Canis lupus familiaris: one gene and its partners. The protein of the gene in region 1 interacts with the protein of each later gene in a pairwise test. Links are inferred from orthologs where the notes say so. Each region holds a gene or a part of one and is shown on either strand. Other genes may lie near its edges.

Evidence for each region.
Region 2: the proteins of PGBD1 (region 1) and NR4A1 interact in binary tests that used the Homo sapiens proteins (3 or more experiments, as listed by UniProt). The two-hybrid records come from large-scale screens. The link is inferred for Canis lupus familiaris from reciprocal best matches to the Homo sapiens genes PGBD1 and NR4A1.
Region 3: the proteins of PGBD1 (region 1) and MEOX2 interact in binary tests that used the Homo sapiens proteins (3 or more experiments, as listed by UniProt). The two-hybrid records come from large-scale screens. The link is inferred for Canis lupus familiaris from reciprocal best matches to the Homo sapiens genes PGBD1 and MEOX2.
Region 4: the proteins of PGBD1 (region 1) and ZNF496 interact in binary tests that used the Homo sapiens proteins (3 or more experiments, as listed by UniProt). The two-hybrid records come from large-scale screens. The link is inferred for Canis lupus familiaris from reciprocal best matches to the Homo sapiens genes PGBD1 and ZNF496.

The regions. Positions count from the first base shown.
Region 1 is NC_049256.1:26,902,289-26,906,541, forward strand, and holds the start of PGBD1 (piggyBac transposable element-derived protein 1), read left to right. Parts: upstream 1-1,453; 5' UTR 1,454-3,456; intron 3,457-4,253.
Region 2 is NC_049248.1:43,697,537-43,701,514, forward strand, and holds the start of NR4A1 (nuclear receptor subfamily 4 group A member 1), read left to right. Parts: upstream 1-1,178; 5' UTR 1,179-1,242; intron 1,243-3,978. UniProt on the Homo sapiens protein: Orphan nuclear receptor. Binds the NGFI-B response element (NBRE) 5'-AAAGGTCA-3'. Binds 9-cis-retinoic acid outside of its ligand-binding (NR LBD) domain.
Region 3 is NC_049235.1:30,370,403-30,374,454, forward strand, and holds the start of MEOX2 (homeobox protein MOX-2), read right to left. Parts: upstream 2,801-4,052; 5' UTR 2,441-2,800; intron 2,238-2,440; exon of another isoform or gene 2,077-2,237; 5' UTR 1,785-2,076; coding exon 1,271-1,784; intron 1-1,270. UniProt on the Homo sapiens protein: Mesodermal transcription factor that plays a key role in somitogenesis and somitogenesis and limb muscle differentiation. Required during limb development for normal appendicular muscle formation and for the normal regulation of myogenic genes.
Region 4 is NC_049229.1:279,363-283,422, reverse strand, and holds the start of ZNF496 (zinc finger protein 496), read left to right. Parts: upstream 1-1,260; 5' UTR 1,261-1,309; intron 1,310-1,553; 5' UTR 1,554-1,730; intron 1,731-2,540; 5' UTR 2,541-2,759; intron 2,760-3,079; 5' UTR 3,080-3,116; coding exon 3,117-3,506; intron 3,507-3,838; coding exon 3,839-4,022; intron 4,023-4,060. UniProt on the Homo sapiens protein: DNA-binding transcription factor that can both act as an activator and a repressor.

The sequences.
Region 1 (4,253 bases):
ACGATCCTGGAGACCCGGGATCGAATCCCACGTCGGGCTCCCGGTGCATGGAGCCTGCTTCTCCCTCTGCCTATGTCTCTGCCTCTCTCTCTCTGTGTGTGTGACTATCATTAAAAAAAATAAAAAAAAAAAATACTGTTTCCTGGAGGAGGACCAAATCTGTAGAGGCAGAGCAACTTTTTGAGACACTAAAGAATTTCATGGAACAGTCATATTCCATTCCTTACGGGGTCATAAAGCTGTGTTTCTTTTATTCTGCCTTGATGGATAAAATTAAGTTGGTATTGAAGATTTTCCCCCAAGTGTTTTGATGGCTGTGCTGAAGTCAGTACCTATCATTCAGCTCTGAGTCATAGTTTAAATCTGTTTGATTCTGTTCCATTTAAGAAGGAAAGAACAGAATGTCTTTATTTTTCTCATGAAAAATAAATGACAATGACAAGAGTCAAAGCATGAAGAATGACATACCCTTCAATAACTGGAAAATTTAGCTTTCTTTGTGATGATTCTATAGTACACACATTATAAGTGTTCTAAATTCATGGACACCTTAACTAGCCTACTCCCTCTCACAGTCCCAAAGGAAATTGTCTTCTCATCGGTGCCCTGGGGGCGCACTCATAACCACTTGAACATATATGTTGGATACAGGAATATTTTAAATTTTTTTTGAGAGAGCATGGGGGCAGGGAGGGGTAAAGGGAGAGGGGGAAGAGAATCTCAAGCAGGCCCCACACCCAGCGCAGAGCCCAACTCAGGGTTGGATTCCAGAACCCTGAGATCATCACCTGAGCCAAAACTAGGAGCCAGGCTCTTAACCGACAGCCAACCAGGCACCCCTGGATATAGGTATATTTTGATAATGTGCTTTTCTTCTCTATTTCTCAAAGATTATAGAAACATTGAACAAAGGGCAAATGTTATAACAGATCTTGAAGGTTTTGCTTGCAATGCAACACTTGTTAGGTGCCCTAAAAGGAAAGCTGTAAGTCTATTCAGAGGATAGCAGCCCAGAAAGGATGAGCTGTATTGTGAAGTATCTTCTACTGATCAGCTTTTCTGTTGGGATAGTATCCTGTAATGTTCAAAAAAGAACATTTCCTGCTCACTCCTGTTTAAAAAACTGATACAGTTATTAGTAAATGTGCCGTTAATTCATGTAGTATGGAGAAACAGGAAAGGAAAAAATAAAGCATCCTAATTTTCACCTGTCAAAAATAATCATTGTTTAGTGTATGTATGTATATGCATGTATATACATGCATGTATGCATGTATACATTCGTGCATACATGTATATATATGACAATCAAATGAATCGTGATTAGTACTGATAATTTCTGCTTAATTTTAATATATAATTGCCCATTATATTTATTATAGAAATTCATATACTTTGTAAAGACCTGAAAACATGTAAAAAAAAAAAACTAAATCATCCTGCTGCGTGGTCTAGACATAATCTCTTAATGTATTCTGAGATACTGATCTTTTTTATGCATAGAAACACTTCACTTTTCTCACTGGACTTCATATCATTAACAGTTTTGATTTGTAAAAGAAAAGGACAATTTGCCTGTCTGCCCAAGTCCATTCTATCATTTCTGCCACGATCCTGAGTGGGCAGCTTGCCATGTGACCCTTCTCTGACCACTGAGCATTAGACCAGGGTGGGGGACCTCTTAGCCAGGCTTGGTCATTTGGATACCCCCAGAAGTTTCATACTGGATCACAGATTCTGTTTGGTCTTCGTTAGGCATTTGAACAAGAAACTAATCTAGAGCTGGAACCATTTTTGTGGTCTTATGAAAACCAAATAGAAACAAACCAGCCCAGTGAGAAGTAAAAGAATGAAGACTCAGAGACTCTGGAGAAGTGACTCTGACCCTCCTCTCCTGAGGTCCACTATATTCCCAGTGGGTCCTGGGAGTCCAAGAAATGCCCTTGTTTCCTTGCCAGCAAATAAAAGAAAGCCCTGATTAAGACACCAGATAACTAAAAGTCTTCATTGAAGACAATTTCTAAGAAAGGTCGCTCAACATTCTGTGGTACATGTTCCTACCATTAGTCATTTTAGTTTATAGTTTGTCACCATAAACAGTATTTCAGTGAACATCCTTGGACATACAGCTTTGCTCACTTTGTAGAATTTTCCTTCATTCAATTCCTGTGACTAAAATTAATGAGACAAAGAGGTAGGCACATTTTTCTAAGGCTTTTTGATTCATTTTCCAGATTGCCCTCCAGGATGGTTATACTAATCTGTACCTTCTGTTAGTCTGAAAATGCCCATTTTTCCATGCCTACATCAAACCTGGGAATTATCCTTTTGCATATATGACATTCTGGTGGATACAAAATAAGTATTTTAAGCGGTTTTTAAAGAATATTTTTGCTGTCAGCGTTGGTCTCTTGGATGTTAATTGGTCATTTATAATTCTGATTTTGTGAACAGCCATACTTACATTTTTTTCTGGATTTTTCTCTTAGATTCTTCTGCTTTTAAACAGCACTGCCCTTCAAAATAGGGGTTCTGTATATAAAATTTTAAACGCACATGCTCTTTGACAGATCAATTCTAATGTGTAGTAGTTAACCTGGAGTTATAAGAGCATGTAAAGCTATTAAATGTTCTCTGCAGCATTACTTAGTGTATGTGTATATATATATGTGCGCATATACACATATATATGTGTACACGTGTACTATAAAACAGTAGGATAGTTGAGTAAACTGTGGTGCATCCATACAATGGAAAACTATTAGGCTGTTAAATAAATTCGTATGGAAAGATCTCCAAGGTAACAGAAAAGGCTGAGATGCAAATTCATGTTGTGATCCCATAAACGTTCAGTAAACAAACGTTGATTGATTGGGTGCTACTACGTGGCTGATAGTGTGCTGGGAAACCCATACACGATATTAACAATGGTTAACTTTAGGGATGGGGCATTCTTCATTTATGGTCTCTATGCAAATTGAATTTTTATTGGGAATAGTATCACCTGCATATTTAAATTTTAGGAATTTGTGCTGCTTGCCATATTGTACTTGTTCCTTCATCGTCTAACCAGAAGCCCGAGAGGAGCCTCACAAAAGGGTCTCGGCTTTGCCATCCCGTTGCTGATGGAAAGGGCCCACGGAGACGAGCGGCGCGCTCTGGGCTTCGCGCCGCGCCTGCGCGGGGTGGTGGCGGCGGGATCCTAGAGAGGCGGGACCGCGTTCCTACAAAAGCCCCGCTCGGCTGCCGGCGGGTCGGGCTCTGCGGCTTCGGGAGCCTGTGCGGTCGGGAGAGCCGCGTCTTTGCTGAGCAACATCCTTGAGCTGTTTCCTCCGCTGAAGAGCAGGAGGACGTGCTGGTATCCGGCGCCTGCGGGGTGCCTCGGGGTGCCTCGGGGTGCCTCGGGGGCGCAGGTGCCCCTCGGTGACTCGGACGGCCCTGCTGCCTGGACGCCAGGTGGGGGCGGGCTCGCTGGGGCTGTGGGGACGGGGCCTCTGCCCCCGGGGTGGGCACGGGGAGGGGGGGGCGGCGAGAGCCGGAGAAGGACCCGGTGGGCGCTGAGGGTCGGGCTCGCTCTCCCACGAATAGTCTGGAGCACAAAGGAGTTTCCTTCGTCCGGACAGGAGTTGTAGGATGGCGTATGCACCGTGACTTGGGAAATGTGCCTCCCTAGAAGGGCAGTCCTGGCCGTGGAGGACGAGGTGGCTAGGAAAAGCCCGAGCAGTCAGCGGTGACTTGAGTTTGCGAAGACCATGGCTTTCCAGGAGGTAGAGGCTGTGTCTTTTATTCCGGGATTAGCGTTTTGCCAGGAAAATAATGACGTGCTCAAATGTTCACCGAATGGCAGACAAACCAGTAAAAACCAGTAAAAACCCGGCGAAGGTCAGGACATTATTGTAGTCGTGAATGTAAGTAAAGGTAATAGGAGAATGAAAGGGGAGGGGATGGCAGCACCAGGTGCTTCCGAGGAAGGATCGGCTGGACTCAATGTGTAGAGACTGGTTTTCAGCCTGGGGCGATGGTGGTGATGCCAATGGAATGGGGAGAGCAGTGAGGACAGCTTTGAGGGACTTGGATTTCAGTTTGGGATGTGTTGAAATTATGACCAGGAGAAGCTGGAAACTGGAAGGCATCCTACTGGCATTTTAAGATCTGAGTCAGGAATGTAAAGGTTAGCTGGAGTCAGCCAGATTTGAGTGTTCTTGGAATAGAGATACGCTGAAATTGTGATTAATGAGAACACAAAAGGAGAT
Region 2 (3,978 bases), on another chromosome or scaffold:
ACCCCAGTGTTTGGGGGGGGTGTCTCTTCTTGTAAACGTTAGCACTCCTATCCCTCTCTCTCTTACTTAGCAGGTGCAGGCTCCCCAGGTTCAGGGGTGGAATGGGGGTGTCGAGGTGACAACCAGACCAGGGAGGCCTCCAGGTGGCTGCAGTGCGGCCTGTGCCCGATCCATCGATGCAGCCCTGGCCATCCCTTCTGGCTTCACGGGGCAGGTCGAGGCTACCCTCTCCACAGGTGGTCAGGGGAGGGCGTGAGAAGATCCCCTAGAGATGCAGTGAGAGGCCCTGGGGGGGGGGGGCAGCGTGTGCCACCACCTCGCCGTGTGACCTTGAGCAAGTGCCATCATTTCCGAGCTTGTTTATTTATAAAATGGGGAAAAAGAGTCGGCACAAATTTGACCAGATTTCTCAGGCCCCGCCCGGTTCTGAAATTCGGTCATTTCCCAGCTGCAGCGCACCCACCCTGGAAGGGACTGGGAAGCGATCAGGGCCAGCGCGTGGAGCGGGGCCCACCGGCCAACGCCTGCCCTCGGAAGGTGCCCTGCGTGGGAGAGTAGGGGGCGGAGGCAAGCGGGGGGAGGGGGGCTCGAGGCTCAGACGACCCGGTGACCCTGCTGCTGGGGAGTAAGTGGCCGCGCTGCGCCGCGGGCTGGAGGGGCGCAGGCTGCGGGGGGGGGCGGGGTGCGCCCCGAGGTGCGCCCCAGGCCTCCGGGGAGGCTGCGCGGCTGCGAAGGCGGAGCAGCGGGCGCTGCAGGGAGCTCAGCCCGGGGAAGCCCCGCGGCCGCGGCTCTAGAGCGCCCCCTCCTCGGGGTGGCGCGGCCCGGGGCGCGCGGGGCGGGGGGAGCCTCGGGAGTCCGCGAGCTGCTATTTTTAGCGGGCGCGGCGGGCGCGCGGGGACTATTTATAGATCAAACAATCCGCGCTCCCTGCGTCAATGGAACCCCGCGTGCGTCACGCGCGCAGACATTCCAGCCTCTCGCCCCGCCCCCCGGGCTCCCCGGCCCGCGCCTCCCCCCGCCGCCTCCCGCCGGAACCGCGCCGCCCCCCGCGCCCTTGTATGGCCACAGCTCGCCGGGCCGCGTGCGTCAGTGGCGCCCCCGCCCCTCGCCGTGCGTCACGGAGCGCTTAAGAGGAGGGTCGGGCTGCGCCGGGGAGCCCCAGCGGCACAGGCTGCGGAGCCCGGAGCGCGCGGCCGGGAGCGCACACGCGGGACGGACGGGCGGGCGGAGCGGAGCCGCCGGGTAGGTGCCCCGCGGGGAGCGTGCGCCCCAGCCCCGGCTTTCGGGGTGTTGCATGGGGGAGACGGCCGTCCGCGCGGGCAGAAAGGATGTTGTGGGGTCGGCGTGCAGGGGCGCGGGCGCTGGGTGCAGCCCGGGCGTCGGGGGGAGCGCTTGCAGCGGGGGCACGACCCGGGCCGCACTCCAGCCCCCGGGCGCCCGAGAGGTGCAAGGTGGAAGCCAGGTGGAAGCCGCGGGGGGGGGGTGGGGTGGAGTTGGAGTTGGCACCGGGAGTGGGGACTTGCTGGGGACGAGGCTGCCTGTGGTTCAGCGCCCCCCCCCCCACTTGGGTGCCCGAGTGGCCCAGGGCGCCCCGGACCGAGGTGCTGATGGGCTCTCGGTACAGTGGGGCGGGGTGTGTGTGTGTGTGTATGGGGGGGAAGATCCCCAGAACTTGAGTTGCAAGGATCCGCGGGACTCCTGCCAGCTCTGGGTTTCCAAAAGGGTCTCCTTCCTCCCCGGCTGGTCGGCCTCCTCCCCCACCCCTCGTTCCTTTAGTTGTTTTCTTAACACGTTAGAGGCTGTGGCTTAGTTTGCAGGGATCCCCGAAGTTGGTGCCTGAGCGGTGTTAGGAGACTTCTGGATTGCTGGAGGAAGTGGCCAGCATGGGGGGCTTGGCTGAGCTGTGGAGGGGGGCTGCTGGTGTTCCACTCAGTCTTCTTAGAGGCAGGGTCTGGGAAGCACCGGGAAGATTGGTTAAGAGGTGTCTTGGATCCTGTGGGGCGTGGGGGCGGGTGCGGACAGAGGAGAGAGAGAGAGAGGTGTGGAAATCTTGGTCCTTGGGGATCCCGAGTGAGAATTGCTCATGTTGGAGTCCCTGGTGTAGTACCTGAAGGACACCCCCCACAGCCCCACAGCCCGGTCACACCCGTGCCCCCCTCCCCCCAGTCCCCGTTGGATCCTACAGGTAGGGTGCAGCCCGCAGCTTGTTCAGCATAACAGGTGCAAACCACATTGTTGCCAGGACCTGCCTGAAGCCGGATCCTCCCTGTTCCCTCCTCCAGCCCCGCCTCTTCCTCCTCCCTGGGGGACTGCTTCTCCCCCACCCCCTTGACGCTGGATGCAGGTCCATATCTGCTGTAGTTAAGTACCTGCGCCGAGGGGGGTGGAGGGGGAGGACAGGTTGGTGGGGGTTGATCCGGATGTGGGATGTCCAAGTGGAGAAACAGGATTTGAATAAGGCTGGAACACCCAGCCTTATTCCAGGTGGCTGCTACCTCTTCTCCACCCCAAACCCATCCCTGCCCCGGCTGTCCTAGCGCTGGAAGACGTGGCCACTCTTATCTCTTGCAGGTGCCGCGTATGCCTGCGGGCGGGCGGGTGGGCACTACCGGGTGGCTGGTGCAGAGCTTGAGGGGCTGTGTGGCCCCCGGCCGGTTGTGGCAGTGTCAGGCCAGGGGTGCGTCGCCCGTGGAGGTGGGAGAGGGCTGGACCCAGAGGACGTTCCCCCCCTCGCCCCCCCCCTCCCCGGGCTCTTGGCCAGGAGGTGGTGCCAGCCTTTGCCCCCTCTCTCTGTTCCCTTGATCGTGGCACTCTGTGTTCCAGCTTGCTTTCTTGCCCCGCCCCCCCCCCCCCCCCCCCCCCCCCCCCGGCCCTGGCTGGGAGGGCCAGAGCCGTGCAGACCCCAGGGGTGGACATGGGATGGGAACCCGTCCCGGGGCCGCCTCTGCGCTAGTTTGCCACGGGTCTGCAAACTTGAGGATCTCCTTCTAAGTGGTGCTGTCTCTGCCCCTTCAGGCCGCTCATGATTGAGGGTGTAACCAACCCTCTTTGCCTGAGCGCCTGGGTTATTCAGGGCCCAGAAACTCCTTCGTGGAGGGACCCAGGCGGGGGCAGGATGGCTTCCATCTGCCCACCTCCCGCCAACAGGCTCCTCCCTGTATGGCCACCTCGAGTCTGCTGGACTCAGAGTTCTCTTATAAAACTAACAAGAGGCAATGCTTTGGGGGTAGCAGAGAAATTCTTCTTAGGGACTGTCCATTCTCCTGGAAGTCTAGGGGGCCTGTTCTCTCCTCCTTCCTGCCCCTATTCGGCTTCCCTCCGGTGTACAGCCTTTAAAGGTCTGGAGCCCGGCTACTTGATCCCCTGGGGAACTGGGGATTGCTGAGGAGGGCCAGGGCTCCCTTCCTTTTTGCCTTTGGGAGCATCCCAGGCGGTGCCGAGTGGGTGCCCATCCCCAGATGGCAGGACTGGGGTGCGCGTGGGAGCTGCAGCCTTTGTTCAGTGTGTCGGGTGGGGGCAGGGATGGGGGACAGGCTCGGGGCTGCTTAGGCCTCTTGCTTAGCAGCTGGGCCTTCAGTCTCGACTCCTCTTCCATTTTCAGGATGTCCTTCCCAGGCACCGTGGGGGGAGGAGGAGAGGGGGCTTTGCAAAGGCTGGGCTGTGCCTGGGAATATTCCCAGAAGTGCCAGGTTGGAGAAATGACATACCTTCACCCAGAGAGTGGGCTAAGTAAGGCTTTGCCTGGCTGCCTCTCCCACCCACCCTTCTTCCAGCCCCTGCCCACGCCTTACCCGGTGCGGGAGGGCAGGGGGCTGAAGGAACACAGCTTCCCCCTGTTCCAGCAGAGAAATGCTGGCTAGATGCCTTCCCTAGGGTTCCCAGGCTGACCGGGGTGTGGCTGGCCTTCCAGCTGAGCCCACTCCTGCTGGGCCACTGCCCGGGGGCTTTGTGACATGAGGGTTGAGATGGCACTCCGGC
Region 3 (4,052 bases), on another chromosome or scaffold:
GCCATTTACGTGGGATCTTACCTAAAGCATTATGAAAAACAAACATCTTCCAATCCTTCGCATCAATACCTGTCATTGCCTTCTAGGACTGTTAAACCAATTCCACAAAAGAAGAAAAATGTGTAAATATTATATTAAACAAATGACACTTTCCAAAAGGGATGGAACGCAGGGCACGCTGTAGCTACAGAAGAAAATCCACAAGTCCCTTAATTGTAAAGTATCTCTTAACAATTGGACGATGATACAGATTGTGAAGGGCTTTAAGGAGTTGCTTGGAAAGCTTTAGTGTCTGGGATTGCTACAATTTACTTGGCAGTCTGCGCATTCAAGCATCTGCATTTAGTAAGGTTCGCTTTTGCGTGGCCACTCAAGTTATCCCCACATAGATCAGCGCCTCCTGCGCGCACCCTCGAATACCAGCCTTAAGCACGTAGAGAACCAGCACTACCCCGGCTGCTGTTTGTTTCCAAATACTTGCCTCCAATAATACTCAACAGAAAGATATTTTACTTTCCACTTTGAAACTCAGATTCCCTATTTAGATTAGCACCACACGAATACAACTACTATTAAAAATCGTTTTTTTTTTCCGCAAGAGTCTGAGCATGTATTTATTTACCGTTCTTTGACACATTCCTTAAAATCCTCTGAATTCCTAGATTGTCTCCTTCCCCAAGAAAGGGATTTTTTTTTCTTTTTTTTTACCATTTGGAATAGGGTGCTATTTAAAGAACTCTGAAATCAGAATAAAAAAAAAAAAAAACTAAAACTTTTTTTTTTTTCTCATACGTTCTGCCAAGTTCCACTGCAAGTTCCAAATATTGTGCAATAATTTGGAAATCCAGTTAACGATGGGAAAAATCGAGCCAGTCGGAGTCGGGAACTTGCAAGGGAAGAGTCAAGGAGCGGCACCCGCACGCACGCCCAGCGGACGCCGCAACCCCGGGTGCGCTCCCCTCCCCACCGCTCAGATGGAAGGTCACGCTTTGCAATCGATTTCACGTACTGTCACTTGTCCTTTTTTCTTAACCCTCTGGTAAACTAGTTTGAACTTTGGAGAGCTTATCGCTGTTGGCTGCAGTGTTGCCCTTGGAGAGAAACACGTGCCCCCAAATAACAGGACCAAAGCAGCCCCCGCCGAATTTGGCGGCGCGGAGCCAGAGAGGGCGAGACGCGTACCCTATTCCCCGCCGCCTCACTGTAGCGCCAGAAGCTTCTCTGTCCTTTCCCCGCCCCCTTTCGCCGACCGTGCCCGGTGCGCTCTTACCTGAGCTATCACTTTTCCTTTTGCCGCCACTTCTCTTCTCCGCCTCCGCGGGTGACAGCGCCTGGCGGCCGTAGTCTCCTGGCGCGCACGCGGCCCCGGTCGGGGTGCTGGAGCCCAAGCTGGAAGAATTGGAACACAGGACCGGCGGGCTGCTCCCCAGCTCCGGGGGCCCTCCCGAATCCGGCTGGAGGCAGAGGCTGTGACGAGCCGCGCTCGGGGGGGAGGACATCTGCGGAAGGTGCCAGTTGGTTTGCAGAGCTTGGTGCTGCTGCTGCTGGTGGTGGTGGTGGTGGTGATGGTGGTGGTGGTGGTGCCCCCTGTGATGCTGGCTGGCAAACATGCCCTCCTCGTTGGGGTATCCCGCGATTATGCAAGACGAGGAAGAAGTGGAGAGCTCGGGGTAGGACATATGGTCAGATCTTCCATGGAGGGCGAGAGAGGACTGGGAAAACGGGTGCAAGCCTTGCGCGGTGGCGTGAGGGCTGCGCAGGCAGCCAAAGAGCGGGTGTTCCATAGCATGCACGTCTCAGGTTCCAGGCAGAAGACTTCACGATGGTTCCGAACGCTACCACCCTCTGTCACTTTTCACTGGAAACCGTGTGTTTTCCCCCTCCCAAACAAATTTTACCCGCCGTTTCTGCAGAGCTCGGATAATCCCGGTCCGGAGCCCTAGCGGCCAGTCTCCTTTACATATAAACACTCGGACCTGGAGAAGCTTCCCTTCGAGCTACTCAGATGTCAAGAGTAGGAGAGGTTGAAGCCAAAAGAAGGTGGTCCCAGAGAACTGCGTTCAGGGGGAAACGGCTCTGAGAGGTTATAAATAGAGTGTAATGTGAGCTGGGGGCTGGCTCAGGAGCCCGGAGCTGACCACATGCAAACTCCCTCCAAAACTCCCGCTCAGTCTGCGCCACGCGCTCCCAGTTCCACTTCCTATCTCCGGCTGGACGTGCGCACTGCGTCCACGCCCGCCCGCCCTTGCCAGCAGCCCAGGCTGCGAGCCGCGCGCCTGGCGCCTGAGCCCGGCCCGAGCCCGAGCCCGAGCCCGAGCCCGAGCCCCAGCCCCAGCCGCGCGGACAGCGGCTCTCCCCGCCCGCCGGGCCGCCAAGGTGCCCTCCGCGCCCGCCCGCGCACGCCAGCCCCAACTCTGCACCCACCGCCCGACCCGCTCACTTCTCTTGTCACTGCCACTCGGGCGCTGTCACCTGCGGGAAAGCTCGGGGTACGCCCGGCTCTTGGGCTCGAAAGGGGAAGTAGGATTACGGAAAAAAAAAAAAAAAAAAAAAAAAAAAAGATTAGTTTGGCGCGCGCTCAGACAAGTTTTTCAAACTCTGCATCGACTCGTGCCCAGGGCGCAGCGGCGCGTCTAGCTTTTCGCAGCTGTTTTCTCCGTCCGGGTGGGTGGTTACCGCGCTCGGACCCGGCATCCGAGGTTTCTGGGAAGTGCCCCGCGGGTAGGAAAAGGGCCATTCTCAGCGCCGAAAAGAGAGAGACCTGCTGGGGTGCGGGGGACAAAAGCGTGGGGGCAGCAACAGTTGCAAGATGTCCCGAGACGCTGGCATCCTCACCTGCGGTGCCAGGTGGGGGTCTTTCTTCTCTTCCTATCTGAGTATGCCTTTCCTGCTTTGTTTGCACAACGTCCTTGCCCTTGCTTTCCTGGTCCACGTCAAATTCCTAGCCATTTGTCAACCCAAAACTTTTCGGGCAGGAAAACCCGAAGCGCTATCGCCGTGGTGACATGTGATGCGGTATCTTGCAAGCACATTTCCAGTCTTTCCCCTCAGGAGTCAGCTCATGTCCCCTCGTCTCCCTCCAGAAATTCACCTTCTCTTCCGCTCGAAAATAAATCAACTAATGGCACTGCTTCTGGCTCCCCCTTCCACCCCCCCCCCCTCCCGCGCCTGCCGCCATGGTCCCATTTACAGGGCAAATATTACACTTCGATAACCCCCAAAGTTCACCGAAACTGGGCGCTGCTTCAGATCTCCCTGGTTCCGCTCTCGCATCATACAAAATTAGTTAGAAGACTTGCCGTCAGTGAATCAGTGAGTAGGCGCGGCGGCTGGGCTTTAACACTGCCACTTGCTTGAGGGGTGACACTGTCTGCTGGGGGCACAGTCGTTTACACAAGGCAAGCGAGCCGCACTGAATGAGCTACAGAAACAGTCAAGTCCTGTCTGGGACGGTTCGCATCAGAAGATTGGCGCTCACCTATGCCGCCCAGGACCACAAACATGCCACCAGCAGTGTAGCCCCGTTATTTTCATTGTCTCACGTGTCCAGAGGATGGGGACCAGGTCTTTGAAGTTGTTAATGGGATTAATGAGGACAGCAAACCGGGCCAGCCATCTGGTTTGAATTAGGAAAAAGTATTGATTAATCTTTGAGAAGTGTCCCCAAGGCAGAAACTTTCCCTCAACTAGTCCCTTCAGGTTTCAGCCTATCTCCCTGGTCTTTTAAGCCCCACTGCTGAATAGTGGCCTCTCAATAAACCTTTACATCCGTGTGAAAGTTCGAATTGTTTTCCATTGCTTAGAGGTGGGATGGGGTGGGGGTGATCAGGAATTCTGAGATTTGTAAGCGCTGCTTTCTTTAACGGAAATTGAGCCCTATTTTGAGGGAAATTAGTTTTGCAGACTTCGTTAAAAAAAAAAAAAAAAAAAAAGCTAAAACTTTTGTTCACCAGCTGCTCAGCTTTTCAGTCTGGGTCTGAGCTGGAACCTGCTGCAAGCTTTTGACGGTAAGACTTTCTTTGCCGATATGTTTTGGGAATCTAATATTGTTT
Region 4 (4,060 bases), on another chromosome or scaffold:
TGTCTCCCTTTCTGATATTTCCTACCCATTTCTGGGAGAAGTGGTTTTATTTCTGCTTGGCCTCCAAACAGGATCTGAAGCACACCAGTGACCTGCAGTCAGGTGCCCAAGAGGTGCAGGGAAACTTCCCTAGGCCTTCTCTTTGGTGGGAGAGGCCCACCTGGGTGTAGACCACCTAGATGGTGCAGATGTAGTGCTGAGACCTGGGACAGGCTTCTCTGACCCTCAGAAACCCGGAAGATTCAGGGTGACCCCGAAAGACCTTTTCTGGGCCACTGGGCCGTGGGCAGCATAGTGCAAAGTGTCAAGGAGCCCTTTGGGGGGCAGGCAATGGCACTGGACTCCAAAGGCTCAAAACCTCTCTGTGCGCCACCATGTGAACATCCAAGTGGCCTTCCCCCCTAAAGCGAGCTCGTAGCTTCCCGGCTGCCCACTGGGACCCGGGCTGACCATAGGGTTGTCCCGACGCGCACAAGGGCCACGCAGGGGCAGCCTTTCTTAACTGACATTCCGCAAACGCGCTCCGTCCCAGCAGGGCGCGGGCTCCACCCGCTTCACTCGGGGACTGCCGGGTGTCCCGCCGCGGATGGGGCGGGAGGAGGGCGCCGTCTCCCCCACCTCCCCCCAGCCCTGGCCTCAGCAACGGCCACGGCCGGGCGGGCCGGAGGGGCTCTGGCGGCAGCAGGACTGGGTCCCCCCGGCCGTGGGGTCGCCAGGGCCACAGGCGCGCGCGGAGACGGAGCAGCCCCCGGAGCGCCGATGCCGGGTGCCCCCCCCGCCCCGCCCCTTCCAGCACTCGGGCGCGGCTCAGGGGTCGCGCTCGGCCCTCGGCGGTGCCGCAGGCCCTGGGGCGGCCGGGCTGGGGGCGTGGCGGCGGGAGGGCCCCGCGCGCGCCCCGCCGCCCCCCCCCCCCGGCAGCCCGCCAACGCCCCCTCCCCCGCGCGCGCCCCGCGTCGTTGGTGCCGCCGGGCGCCGGCCCACAAAGCCCCCGGCCGGACGCCGAGGCCCGGGCGCGCGGAGCCGGGGCGGGCGGGGCGCGCCGGCCGGACCACGCCGGGGGCGGGGGTGTCGGGTGTCACCCCCAGCGCACACCTCGGCCGGGGGCGGAGGGAGCGAACCACTGAGACGAGGAGACCTCCCGGGTCCTAGAGCGGAGCAGGAAGTGTCCCAGGGGAGGGAGCCGGAGCTCTCCGGCCCTTCCTTTCCTGCGCGTCCGGCGGACTCCGCGGCGGCCAGGCTCGGCGGTCCCCGCCACCGCCCCCGCCCCCGCCCCCGCCACCGCCACCGCCACCGGGGACGCGCCTGGGCGGTGAGTGCGGCCCGAGCGGCCCGGGCCCCCGCCCCCACCCTGCGCCCCCGCCCTGCGCCCCCGCCCCGGCCCCGGCCCCACGTCCCCGCGCGCTCCGCGTCCCGGCGTCCCCCGGCCCCGCGCCCCGCGCCCCGCGCCCCGCGCCCGGCCGCCTGCCCGGAGCCCAGCGGCGGGGACGCGGGGACGCGGGGACGCGGGGACGGCGCGGGCGGGGCCGCACCGTGACACAGATGCCGCGTTTCAGGCGCCTCCGTGGCTCCCACCGCTCCACTCCCGGGCGCAGCCGCGGTGCTTGGATGAGCCAGGGACGGGGAGGGCCCCTGCGAGCGCGGGCTGGAAGGATGAGGAGCGGCTGCGGGACGCTTCCGCTGCAGCACGACAGATTCCAGTTAGACGCCGGGCGGGACTTCCAGGCGGTGAGGTGAGCAGCGCGGCGCTGGCGAGACTGCGGGAAGGGAGCGGGAGGGGACGAGGACAGCTGGCCCGGGCCTAGCCTAGCGTGGCCCCCGCTTCCTGGCCGTCCTCCCCCCGGAGCTGCTGGAAGCGCTACTCCCCGCCCGCTGCCGGAACGCCCCCAGGAACGGCGTGAGTTGACCCCTTGGGCCTCTGCCCGGTGCCGGGTGACAAAGGCTAGCGGGTTGTCTGCTGGGCTGATGCCCGAGGGCGGGCGTCAGGCTTCGGAGGCCCTGCAGGTGTGCGGCGGGGGAGGCGCGCTGTGATCTGAGACAGCGTGCGGGGGGGGGGCGCCTGCCGAGCCCATATCCTGATTTGTGTTACCTGGTTGCCCACCTGGCCTCAGTGCTCACCTGTGAAATGGGGGTGTCGGAGTCTTGCACACACTGGTGTCCACAGCTCTTCGAGGCCTTTCCCCATTTGCTCTACTTTGCTGGAGTCCCTGGGGCCACAGTGGTGGCGTTTGGCCACTGAGGTCACCCTGGGTGTGTGCCTCGAGGAGGTGCAGATGGCAGCACCCCACCTTGGCCCCTAGAGGACTTTACCCCGGTCGGAGATGACAGGGGGCTGCAGGGTGGCGGCAGGGTTGCAGGCCAGGGCGACCGAAGTAGACCCCAGAGTGTGCTGCTCAGACTTTGTAGTGAGGGAGGGAGCTGTTTTTAAACATGAAGGTACTTTCTCTGGGTCCCCAGGGTGTGGCCGCAGCCTTGGCTTCTCCCCACTCTTTGTCTGTTTCATCCCATCCTGTCCACTATGCTGCCTGGGGTTCCTTCCCCAGGTCGGACGCCACTGCTCAGGCCTGGCCACCAGCACGGTTGACTTCTGCTCCTGGATCTGCTCAGAAGGCTCCTCCCAGGCATGCGCATCTTTGTCTTTCCAGCTCCTCTTGGAAAGGTCTCAAGGACCAGGACAGCGACTTTGGCTCCAAAGCCTCAAGATAGCAGCCCCCTGGGCTCCTGCGTCTCAGGTCCTGCCCAGGAGGCCCTGGCCCCCGAAGGTACCACAGAGCCTTCATTACACCTGTCTCCTGCACACGGCCCTGCCCGTGTCCTGTCCTGCGCTTTCCCCCCAGACTCCTCACCTTGTGTGTCACCCAGCTCCGGGACTTACGTGCTTGTACTGTGGAATGGTGTTGGGGGTGGTGGCATGCTTCCCTCTCTGTGTGTGCAAGGAGCAGGCATGCTGATGCCTCTCACATATCCCAAAGCTTCTCCCAGGGGCTGGTCTGGGGGCTTCACCACTCTCCCCATCAGCACCCCCAAAAACCTCCCACAGGAGACCAGAACGTTGAAGCCAGTGATTTTTGTTTGGAAATAGGGTCGTCTTCTGCTGCTGACCCCCATCAAACCCCATCATGCCCACAGCCCTGTGCCCCCGAGTCTTGGCTCCAAAGGAAAGCGAGGAGCCCAGGAAAATGAGGAGCCCACCCGGAGAGAACCCCAGCCCCCAGGGGGAGCTTCCCAGCCCTGAATCCTCCCGCCGCCTCTTCCGCCGCTTCCGCTACCAGGAGGCAGCGGGCCCCCGGGAGGCCCTGCACCGCCTCTGGGACTTGTGTCGGGGCTGGCTGAGGCCCGAGAGACACACCAAGGAGCAGATCCTGGAGTTGCTGGTGCTAGAGCAGTTCCTGGCCATCCTGCCCCGGGAGATCCAGGGCTGGGTGCGGGCCCAGGAGCCTGAGAGTGGCGATCAGGCCGTGGCTGCTGTGGAGGCACTTGAGCGGGAGCCAGGGAGACCCTGGCAGTGGGTGAGTGGAGGGTGCTGAGCGGGGCGGGCCAGGAGGCGGGAGGGGAGAGGCAGTGTCTGCGTGCCCTGGCCAGGCTAGGAAAGTTTGCTAGAGCTCCGGGCCTCAGTGAGGCCCATGCTGGGGCGTCCATCTCTTGAGAAGGTGGGTTTCCTCCTTGACGGGCCTGACCAAGGGTGTGGTCTTGTCAAGCTTCCTCACAGCCCTGCACGGGGTCTAGTTGCGCCTCCTGCGGGCAGCAGGCCCAGGGAGGGAGGGTGCTTGGCCAGTGTCCAGCATAGCCACCAGCCCCCACCTGGTCAGCTAGCCCTGAAAAGCTCTCTCTGGGGTTGCAGCTCAAGCACTGTGAAGACCCCGTGGTGATCGATGATGGGGATGGCCCTCCAGACCAGGAGCAGGAGCGGCTGCCTACAGAACCCCAGAGCGACCTTGCAAAGGGCCAGGACACCCAGCCCGTGGCGCTGGCACAGGGCCCTGGGCTCCCAAGCAGACTGCAAGGCCAGCTCAGCGGGGATCCAGGTACCAGCCCAGGGATGCCCCATGCTGGGTGCTTGGTG